3 linked regions of the Drosophila melanogaster genome follow. Changing the gene in region 3 together with the main gene of any one other region gives a genetic interaction. Each region holds a gene or a part of one and is shown on either strand. Other genes may lie near its edges.

Region 1 (3,755 bases), on a different chromosome or scaffold from region 3:
CAACAGTTCTCCTCACACACTCACAATCACAGTTCTTTATTAAATTATTATTGCACTCAAGTGGTTTATTTTGTATGTTTTTCATTCGTCACCGCCCTCAGGAAATTAAATGATTTTCCTTTGTTTCGTACTGGTCTCTCGATTTCAAAACTCCGGGCGATTTTCGAGGATGGCCATTACGCGAACAGGCAACAAACGACTCTGCCAGCGGCTGGCCATTTGTTCCACCATTCGGATACGCGTGCTGGAAAATTGTTTGCAGCTGCGCGCACGCAAGTTCGGGAAAACTCGGTGGAAATGTCAATTTTCCTCCCCCGATTTCGCGGCAGGCTGACTTTTGTTTTGTTTTTGTTTGGCTCGCGCACAGCTGATTTGCTAGAGATGGCACCATGGGCGGCAGTGTTGTAAAACATTTACAGTATTTGCGATATTTTAATTTAATATAAAAATTAATTTTTTTGGAGCGTAATAAAATTGATAAAAATAAAAAATATGAATAGGTATATGTATATTTTTTAATTCCTCAATGAAGTAATAGTTTCAATACGCCTTTGTGAAGCGTTATCTTCGGAAATTATGTTTTAAATTGTTTTATTCCCATTCATAAAAATTATAAAAATTAGTTGCTAGCTGGTACCAATTTATTAGCCGCAACTTAGACTACAATTTAGGATCTCCGATCCGCAGATGCTTATAGATTAAACATACGCAATCGCCGGCTGTGCTTAGCAACCGAGCTTCTTGGCCTCCTGGAAGCGGCACGAGATGTCATCCCAGTTGGCGATGTCCCAGATGGCCTCCACGTAGGAGGGACGCACGTTCTTGTACTGCAGATAGTAGGCGTGCTCCCAGACATCGATGCCGAAGAGCGGGATCAGGCCGGTGGAGGCCTCCAGGGGATCCTGGTTGGGCAGGGCGGCCAGTTGCAGTTTGCCCGACTTCTTGTTGAAGCCCAGCCAGCCCCAGCCGGAGCCCTGGACCGCCACGGTCAGCGTGGTCAGCTCCTTTTTGAACTCCTCGAGGCTCTTCCACTGCGACTCGATGGCCTTCTTCAGATCATCGCTGGGCTGGGTCTTGTTGGGCGAGAGGTTCTGCCAGAAGATGGTGTGGTTGATGTGGCCACCGCCATTGAAACGCAGGGCAGGAGCCAGCTGAATCAGCTTGGTGGTGTCGCTCTTCGACTTGGCCTCCTCCAGCTGCTCCTCGGCGGCATTTAGATTGTTGACGTAGGTCTGGTGGTGCTTCTGGTGATGCAGCTCCATGATCTCCCGGCAGATGATAGGCTCCAGGGCGGCATAGTCGTAGGGCAGCTTCGGTAGGGTGTGCTTGCCACGCACCGCCAGGCTGCAAAGGGTTAAGTGTGTCTTGTTTTATAATGTCCTCAAGATCAGGGTCGCCATTTGTTGCTATTTATGTAATCAGCCGGCATCGATTTGGGCATACTTTTTTTCGCAACTTACCTTGCAGTTTGCGAAATTTTACGGGCCACGAACATATCTGCGTTTTATTCGACTGCTAATAAGGCTAAGTCCCGATATCAGATTTTATATCAAATAAAACAAGGCTTACGTTCTCGTTATTTCGCTTGTTCTATTTGAACAATTTACTGCTAGAGATGAGCAGATGAGAAAATATCGAAAGACCCCAATCAGTCAGTGATGTGAGATCAACTTATATATATTGAAGTTAAATAGTAAAACTAAAAGAAATTAAAAACTATTTTTAATTGAAACATTGCACTGAAACATATTCAAATCATATTGAGGATTTCTTAAATATTTCTTATGTTTAAATACTACTTTAGTGACTATTAGCATATTTTAGCTGCTTACGTATCGACTGCATCCATTCGATTGATACTTGAATTAATCGATTTTTGGCCTCTGTATGTCATGGCGCTAAATTGGAAATAAACCATGAAATTAACGTCATAAGTTTAAAAATCCGACTGGAACACAGCACACAACATGTCTACATTTCAAATACCTTCCCGAATCAAAATCGATATAACAAATAAACGGGCACAGAACATTCTTCACAAATATCTACATTTACGTAAGTTGCTTAAATAAGCTAAAGATTTTATGATTTGACCATGATTCGTTCAGCAACCTCTCCTGGAAACATGAGCAGCGAGGTAGATAGTAATTCACACCACGCCGCAGTGGTTATTGACAACGGCTCTGGAGTATGTAAGGCTGGATTCTCCCCAGAAGATACTCCCCGTGCTGTCTTCCCGTCGATTGTGGGCAGACCTCGTCACCTGAACGTCCTGCTGGATTCCGTGATCGGTGATAGTGTTATTGGCGAGGCGGCAGCCCGAAAAAGGGGAATACTAACCCTAAAGTATCCCATCGAGCACGGAATGGTCAAGAACTGGGATGAAATGGAGATGGTTTGGCAGCACACGTACGAGCTCTTGCGGGCGGATCCAATGGATTTGCCGGCTCTACTCACCGAAGCCCCACTGAATCCGAAGAAGAATAGAGAGAAGATGACAGAGATTATGTTCGAACACTTTCAGGTGCCAGCTTTTTATGTAGCAGTTCAGGCTGTGCTCTCACTTTACGCCACCGGGCGTACTGTGGGCATTGTGGTGGACTCGGGTGATGGTGTGACGCACACGGTACCGATCTACGAAGGATTTGCCCTGCCCCACGCCTGTGTACGAGTTGATCTGGCCGGCAGGGACCTCACCGATTATCTATGCAAGCTGCTTCTGGAGAGGGGCGTTACAATGGGCACCTCTGCTGAACGGGAAATCGTGCGTGAAATCAAGGAGAAACTCTGCTATGTGTCAATGAACTATGCCAAGGAAATGGATCTCCACGGAAAGGTGGAAACCTATGAGCTGCCAGATGGGCAGAAAATCGTTTTGGGCTGCGAGAGATTCCGCTGCCCGGAGGCTCTCTTCCAACCCAGTTTGCTGGGTCAGGAGGTGATGGGCATCCACGAGGCCACCCATCACTCGATAACCAACTGCGACATGGATCTGCGAAAGGATATGTATGCGAACATTGTTCTCTCTGGCGGTACGACCATGTTTCGTAACATCGAGCATAGATTCCTGCAAGACCTAACCGAAATGGCTCCACCATCCATCCGAATCAAGGTTAACGCTAGTCCAGACCGCAGATTCTCCGTTTGGACGGGTGGTTCCGTCTTGGCCTCACTCACGAGCTTCCAAAACATGTGGATCGACAGCTTGGAGTACGAAGAAGTTGGTTCCGCCATAGTCCATCGAAAGTGTTTTTAGTTAAGGAGGGTGTTCAAATATTCGTTATGAGCAATGATTATTATATATTTTCTATTTGCTAATGAATGTAATTTCTTAAACAAATCTAGTCGATATAAAATAAACAAAACTGGGGGTTACCTACACAAAAATTAGTTGCATTTGGGAAGCACAAGGCCCATGTAACGCCCTTCTAACAGCACAAATGCAACACTATCTAAACTAACCGCCAGATTAACTAGCCCCCAGGTAAACTAACTCCCATATAAAAAATTCTTAGGTAAATTAATCCCTAGATCAAATAACCCCAAGTTAAATTAACCCGCAGATACAACATCCCCCAGCTAAAAACAAAAATCCTTAAAAAAAAACTCCCAGTCAAACGAACCTGGTGGTAAATTAGCAACAAGATAAAATAGCAATCATTGAACCAAACAAATAACTTCTAAACTCTTATTCTGATTAATTTCGAATGTTTTAGGCTAAATGAAAATACAAATGTGTTCGATTGTAACATCTC
Region 2 (3,755 bases), on a different chromosome or scaffold from region 3:
AGCCGATCCGGGTGGACTTTTAAGGTGCGTCTATAGCCGTCCTGTTGCTCGAAACGCCAAAAATGGCAATTTCCATATAAAACTTATGCGAAGCCGGCAAACTTACAAACATCCGACGACCGCAAGAGTCAAAGTACGACTGTGGAGGTTCTTCAGTGCCAGTGACTGCCCCGACTGTTTTTTAACTGCACTGCGACAAAAAAAGATTCTAAGAATGCGTACTGGGAGCTTAATTTTAATCAAATGTTTGCCTTTTGCATTGCTTTATCATAATGAAGAACATTTTGCATTGCAAAGATTTAATGAATACAGAAATGTAAAAAAAAATTTTTTAATGTGTCGTGTTTAAAAATATTATGGCTTACACAATAAAAAAAAATGTTGCTTCATTTGGTTTCATCGAATTATTGCTACTTTTTCAATCTTTCCCCTAACTTTAAATGGTATTTTATATATGAGTATTGGTATAATGAGCTGTGAATAAAAACCAAATAGAATAATTCGATGATATTATTGACTTAGGCTTGGACCTTTTCCAGTGCCATCGGCTTGTAAGTTATTTTTTCGTTCACAGACATCTACGAATTGAAAAAGAATGCCAGAGTAGCGTCAATAAATTTGGCCTGGAAGCTTAGAGCCTGGCTTGGATTCCATTTCCACGAAAAAAGGTTCTGGAATGACAGCCGCTTTAAAGGTGTGCGTGATGTTCTTTTTGATCCAACACAGTCAGCAATAGCAAGTATTACAAACCCTAATTGATCCCATTGATTGAGTTTTTAGACCTGATCGCTTGTAGACACATTCGTAAAATGCAAATTCACATCGCGACTGACATTTGCATATGCTAACAATTAATTTTCTGTCACCTAGGTAATCAAAATAAAACATTTTCCAATTAATCCCACATTTTATAATTTGTAAGATTAACATTTTTATAAGCTCTGCCTCCACCTGAGCAAACGCAAGCACGAAAGACCTTAACAGGCATTTAAAATGTAGAAGTACAAGATTAGATATCTTTTGTATTAATTAAAATAATTATCAATTAGAATAAACGCTCAGACCACCCACACTTAGTGTTTTACTATCAAAGATGTGTCTTTGCATACATACATATATGTATATATATATATATTTATAGCTAATCTGTTATCCCGCCACTTCAGCTTTAATATATTAAAATATTTTCCTCAATAAACTGCAATTACTTGAAGTTGCAAATTGAGTAAACTAATTCCACTTCAACACGCACGGCTAAATCACAATTATCTGATGCCAATCTACACGATATACTGTATTGAGTTGTCAGTGCCACTAGACGTGAGGATATTGGCTGCATTTGGAAAATCCGAATCTGGAAAATCTGGCCATAGATCGCAAATAAATTTCAAAGTTCGCAACATACGTAAACCACGATCTTGATTTTGATAGACACGATTTATGGAGGCTTGCAGCTGCTGCAGCTTTTTACAGACTCCTTAATTGTTCGACTCAAACGGCAATTATTTATGGGACAGTTTCAACAGTGTAATTAATTAGCCACCTCTCTTTTCCCGTTTTCGGGCAGCTTTTCCGCGGAAATACTTTTTGGTTTGTGGAAAATCGCTTAAAGACCAACCGAACCGCTTTGCACGAGCTCCGTTTGAAAAATGAAACTGAAACCGGCAGCCGGCAACTCCAAAGCCGCAGAGCCCACAAAATCGTAACGAAAACTTGACTAACGAAGCCGCTTCGTGTATTTTACCCGAATGTATGAATTTTCCACGATGACGGCACGTCAGCACACCCTCGCAGAGTTTTCCATTTTCCGCTGCACTGCTGGGATACCCCTCCTCCAAACAACATAATTCCACCGACTAATGGCGTTTATGAGATAATCAGATGTGCATGTTCCAAGGCTGGGTAGCATATTTACCCTTGGAAACATGATCTCATATCAAGCACACTTTCCTCGACAGCTTCTTTTCACTGGGTTTGGGGAAAATATTTACTCAAAATTGGGAAAGGGCTTGCGTTCTAGTTTATCTCGCAGTAATCAGTATGTTGTTGTGGGTGTTGTTGGTCTTAGGCAAATCTTAACGATAAAAGGGTTTACCTGGCCACCCCAATACAGAGACTTTACATATTTATTTTTATTTAGTGTGTGCGTGTGCGAAATGTTAAGTGTGGTCAAATGTGTGGGTCTGATTTCTTTCATGCCTCTAGGCTTCATAAGCATCGGGAACTATTTCAACATTAGTGTAAGAAAGGAACTAAACAATTTGGAGTAAGATCATGGGTCCGGGACGATGTTAGCAATTGCAGGCGGGGCACACGGGCTTGTCCCCGTCGATGGTAAAAGTCTGCGAGGTTATAGGATTCTCGCATTTGTTGCACTGGAAGCAATTGCGATGCCACTTCACGTTCATGGCGAGCACCGCTGAGTCCGTTATAGGCTTCTCGCACTTGGCGCACCTGGCAGCAAAGAGGTTCTCGTAATCCTGTTTGCAATAGGGCTTGCCGTCGCGCTCATAGAACGTTTGACTGGCGAGCGGCTTCTTGCAGGCACCGCCGCAGCAAAAGCAAGCTTCGTGCCACCTCTCCCCCATGGCGCAGATGGTTTTTTCAAGGATCGGCTTCTTGCAGCCGGCACAGGTGTAGGTGTACCGCTCCACGAAGCACTTGTTGCACACTGGTTCTCCGCTCTGAACATTGAAGGTGGCATCCAGGATCTGCTCATCGCAGTGGTGGCACAGGAAGTGCTCCGGGTGCCACGTCTTGCCCAGGGCGGTGATCATACGCTTGGTGATGGCCTCCTGGCACTTGTGACACACAATGCTCTCAGTCATTTTGGCTTCTCGATTGGTAACTGCTAATAAAAAATGATTTTTAATGCGCATTACCAAGGGATTGTTCAATTACTCTTTTTTGATTGAATTGCTCGTATATATCGTAAATTGAGGTTAAAATACAAAATGTACAAAACAGGGCAGCTATCGATTATTTTATTGAAAGAAACAACGGAAGATGGCTATGGAACGATAAACACTGGGCAACGCAAATATTAATGAGACAAATTATAATTCTGTACTTATTTTAAGATTGGGTGTATTTCTTACTGGGTTTGTCGCCTGTTTCACTACTTCCTCTTTTCGCAGTGTGTTTTTCCTAGTTCGTAATTGTACTGTTCTCATATATCAAAACAGTTGTCACAGGGCCACCGTTGTTACTTTACTTTCTATTAGATGTTTCACACAAAATGGGAGCACAACAACAAGCAATAACGGGTATAATAAGGGTATACTAGATTCGTTAAAAAGTATGTAACAGGCAGAAGGAAGCGTTTCCGAACATACAAAGTATATATATTCTTGATCAGGATCAATTGCCGAGTCGATCTAGCCATGCCCGTCTGTTCGTATGAGATTCAGCATACAAATTCTAGAGACAACGATGCAGCGCAAGTTTGTTGGCCCATGCTGCCACGCCCACAAGCCGCAAAAAACGGCCACTCCCACACTTTTAAAAAAGTCTTGATATTTTTTTACATTTCATTTTTTATCAATTTGCAAAAAAACTTTTTGCCACGTCTACTCTAACGCCGTAAAACCGCCCATAACTGCTACGCTAACATTTTAGAAATTTTGAAAATTATTTCTTCATAATTCCATAACTTTTTGCCACGCCCTAAAACCGCACTAAATTGCTACGCCTACACTTTTGAAAACTGTTGATATTTTTATTAGTCTTGGAAATTCCTATCGATTTGCCAAAAA
Region 3 (3,755 bases):
TGCCGAACTGTCCATAATATGTCCATCAAAGTGTCTTTTCAGTTTGACATCCATTGGCGGCAGCAGAGTGCCTTACTTTTTGTATCTTTTTGGGGAGGTAAGAGGGTGGTATTGATAAACATTTCGACGGACAGACGTGATTACTACCATATGTCCGACCAGATCCGTGGCAAGCAATATTGTGCTTATCAAACTGTTTCGGCTCATCCAATTAATACACTTCACGGCCCCCGAACTCCACCCCACTGCACTCGTGGCTGGCAGATATAATGAAACTAATTAGCATTTGACAAACACCAATCTCATATTATATTCCTCATATACAGTGGGCGTTAGTTTGTACAAAAGCAAACGCTTCACTGATGAAATTTCCAGAAATTTTGAGTGCAATATCACATGAAAACTTGTTGATATTCTGTAAATTACTCCATGAAATAAGTATACACTTGGGGTTGTAGGTAAATTGCTATAGAACCAGGCGCTGTTTTATCTATCATTAAAACCTGCTCTTGACCCTATGGACTTCATTTTGTTACCACCTTTGTATTAACAAGTAAACAAAGTATGGCTGTGTTGATTATCAAATCGAATAGGTTAATAAAAATAACTACATTTTTGATCTTTAGTCCACTACTGGGGTAGACCACTGTACCAACAAAGAATCCGCAAAAACAGGACCCAATTGGCTAAGGCAAACTTCAGTTGGGAAAACAAATTGTAAGCCCACAAATAATGATTTAGTCACATGGAATCGAAATCAAGATAAATGCGCGTGCTATATGGTTGTTTTCTTATTTTTTTTTCGCTTTGAGCAATTTGTTCGATTTGCTAATGCGAACAGCTTAGGCAAATATTTTGGCATAAAAGTCAGCAAGTGACAAAATAGTAGCTATTAATTGTTTGTAAGTCGGCTCGCTAAACATGGCCAGTGCGAGTCAATAGTTGTTTATTGTTTGGCTCACAGCGAAACAAAGCGGCCTGAAAATGTTGTTAACCTCAAAAACCGCCAAGAACGTCAGCCAGATCGGTCGGTATTATAGCGGTGGGAGGAGGAAGAGGAGGATGAGGGGGGGGGGGTGGCTCAGCCTACAGAAACTAGAGAATCAAATGCTATGGTAAAGCATAAGCCCCCGACCCCCCGCAAAAGGTTGACGTAACAGCTAGGCAGCTAAACTCTTGAGAAATGGAAGCACCACTATACTTTCGGCGGTATTGAAACAGCTGTCTTTCCATAATCGTAGCATTTGAATGGTAACCACACGCGCGCATATTAATATGAAAACATTTTCAAAAACCGAAAAACCAACTCACCAGCAGACTTCTAAAACAACAGATATCCAACAAATCACAGACACAACAGTGCTATTTTAATTGACAGTCTTTAGATATCTCATAATTTGCCATGCACTCGGCTATTTTTAAACTCTGATTTTGAATTTATTTTTGGTTCCTATTTCTGTGGCCTCCACACTTTCATCACTTTCAGATCGGTTCTCTTCAAGTCGCGCGCTGCAACGGTTAAAATTCCTGTCCACACATCCGATTCCACTGCACTTCTTGGGCACAGGCACTTTGGTTTCTGGTTATCACACTGCGCTGGACGGGCAAAGAGGCGTACAAAGGCACAATGGGAACTAATTTAAATTGAATTCGAACTCAGTGCTCGCGGCCAGTGGAAAAGTGGAAAATAGGGAAACTCAAACCGCAGCAGGGCAATAAGGCGAAACAGTCAGCGACGACGTTAAAATTAGCACTGAAACGCGCCGTGCGAATGCGCGCCTATGATTTCTTTACCCACTCTCACTGCTCCCAAGCGGAGGTGGCCTCTTTTCTAGCTAGATATAGCTATAAATATAGGTAAGATCACAAGAATATCGAAAAAAAGCATAAGATAATTCTTATCACCTCTTTCGCCGGATTTTTGAAGTAGGATCATCAGAGATAACTGCTTTATATGAAACAAAGCTAGTAAGACATTAAAAGGAAATCGCTCCTATGAGAGCGTTGACAACGTTAAACTTAAAGCAAATATAAACTATCACAATTGAACACCCTTTAAATTGTTATATATGTAAGTGATTTTTTTTGGTTTATTTATTTTATTTTGTTGTTTATTTGGTATAATTACTTTATAAGTAGAACTGTTCAAAAACAAGCCAAGTGAGCTCCTCTGTTTCCCCAAGTACTCTCACGCTCTTTTTTTGCTCTCTCCAGTTGGTGATGACCGTGGGGCCTGGCGCTCTCTTTTGAAGAAGATTTTTGTAAACAAAACCGCGACACGCATTGTTGCTGCTAATGTGATTGTTGTTGTTCTGATAAACGCTAATTTGCCTATTGATATTGATGTTAATGTGCCTTTGCTCACACAGTCGCGGCCAAGGAGATAACACTGCCCCTTAATACATAGATCGTTTCAATCTAAAATGGATGCAAATTTAACATTTGGGCATAGGAAAACGTATGGGTAGACAACGAATATTTTTGTTAAATGAATTGATCACTTTCGATAAGTGTGTAAATCATAAATTCCTGAACTTAAGCTATTGACGTAGTGGGTGTGTCATGTTTGTACTTTGGTAACTGCTTAACACACAGATTTATTTGCATCATAATCACTGTTGAAAGATTTCTACAGGTTATATACACAAAAAGAAAATCTATCATTTGAGGTAGAGCACTACGTAGAAGAATATTATATTTTATACAGATGGCATCGTTGTTTGTTAATTCAAAACTTTTAATACTTCTAATATACTACCATAACTCCTTGTACGTCCTGGCGAGGGTTCGGATGTCCTTCTCTTGAGTATTGTGTTGAATACACAGATAGTTCCTATGATTGCTCCAGTCCCTGATGCTGTGATGGTACATCACTTCCACAATGAGCAGTTCCTCGTAGAGCTCCTCCCAGACTATGCCTATTGTGCTGGCACACGTCTCCAAGAGCCAACGGAAGGAACAGGGGAACAACTGACGCAGTTCATGCTTGTCATGCCTCCGAATTCTTTTCATATAGCCGTGTAGAAGCCAGCAATCAAAATTTGACACTTGCAATAACAGCGTCTCAGGGCTTGGCGGCTCATCATTGATATCGCTCGCTACTTGGTCTGATGCTCTATCAGAACCTTCCGGATTCAAAATTTTTTCCAGATTGCGACGGGGCAGATCTAGAGGGATGTTTAATGGATCCATGGTCCCTTCCTCGAAGGTTTGCAGTGAGCTAAGGCTGTCAAGTGGTATCTCGTTATCGTTGAGTTTGAGAAGAAAGCTGGGCGTTTCGGTAACATCCCAAAACGGATTATTTATCTCAAGTTGCACACGCCTTGCGTCGCGCATTGTTATACGTTTCAAATATCGGGCTCCATAGGTTCCAGTGGGCTGTGTGAACCGAAAGTCCGGCCGTTTCTCCTTACGCTTTAGCTCGCTTATCCACGTCTCGGTTTTAATTTCAGTGTTGGCGCGGTATTCTCGACCGTCACCTCGGATTATTGTTAGTGGGCGGAATATGCCCACGTTTTGGATGTCCTCCTGGCAGGCAAGCTCCTCTACTCGTAGTTTAAGGCCATGTTGGGACAAATACTGCGACAGCTCGGTCGTTTCCAGCACAAAGGGATCCAGGTTGCGGGCCGAGTGATCCACTTTCATGTGGTCAGGAATTGTGATTTTCATTTTTGCACCATCAGACCGCGATACTTGGAGTAGGATTCTGTTGAAGTAGGAGTGAGCCGGAGTCAAGCTGGGCTGGAATTCAATGT

Evidence for each region.
Region 1: of tws (region 3) and Sod2, changing one suppresses a phenotype caused by changing the other (phenotypic suppression), as found in Drosophila melanogaster (one study listed by BioGRID).
Region 2: of tws (region 3) and Ret, changing one enhances a phenotype caused by changing the other (phenotypic enhancement), as found in Drosophila melanogaster (one study listed by BioGRID).

The regions. Positions count from the first base shown.
Region 1 is NT_033778.4:16,772,295-16,776,049, forward strand, and holds Sod2 (superoxide dismutase 2 (Mn)), read right to left. Parts: upstream 1,622-3,755; 5' UTR 1,496-1,621; coding exon 1,461-1,495; intron 1,345-1,460; coding exon 726-1,344; 3' UTR 491-725; downstream 1-490. Other genes in the region: Arp53D (Actin-related protein 53D), read left to right, coding at 1,968-2,055, 2,109-3,256. UniProt on the Drosophila melanogaster protein: Destroys superoxide anion radicals which are normally produced within the cells and which are toxic to biological systems.
Region 2 is NT_033779.5:21,197,110-21,200,864, forward strand, and holds the start of Ret (Ret oncogene), read right to left. Parts: upstream 1,654-3,755; 5' UTR 1,544-1,653; intron 1-1,543. Other genes in the region: CG31624 (uncharacterized protein), read right to left, coding at 2,292-2,828.
Region 3 is NT_033777.3:10,138,016-10,141,770, forward strand, and holds the start of tws (twins), read right to left. Parts: upstream 1,758-3,755; 5' UTR 1,312-1,757; intron 1-1,311. Other genes in the region: TAF1B (TATA box-binding protein-associated factor RNA polymerase I subunit B), read right to left, coding at 2,755-3,755. UniProt on the Drosophila melanogaster protein: Could perform a substrate recognition function or could be responsible for targeting the enzyme complex to the appropriate subcellular compartment.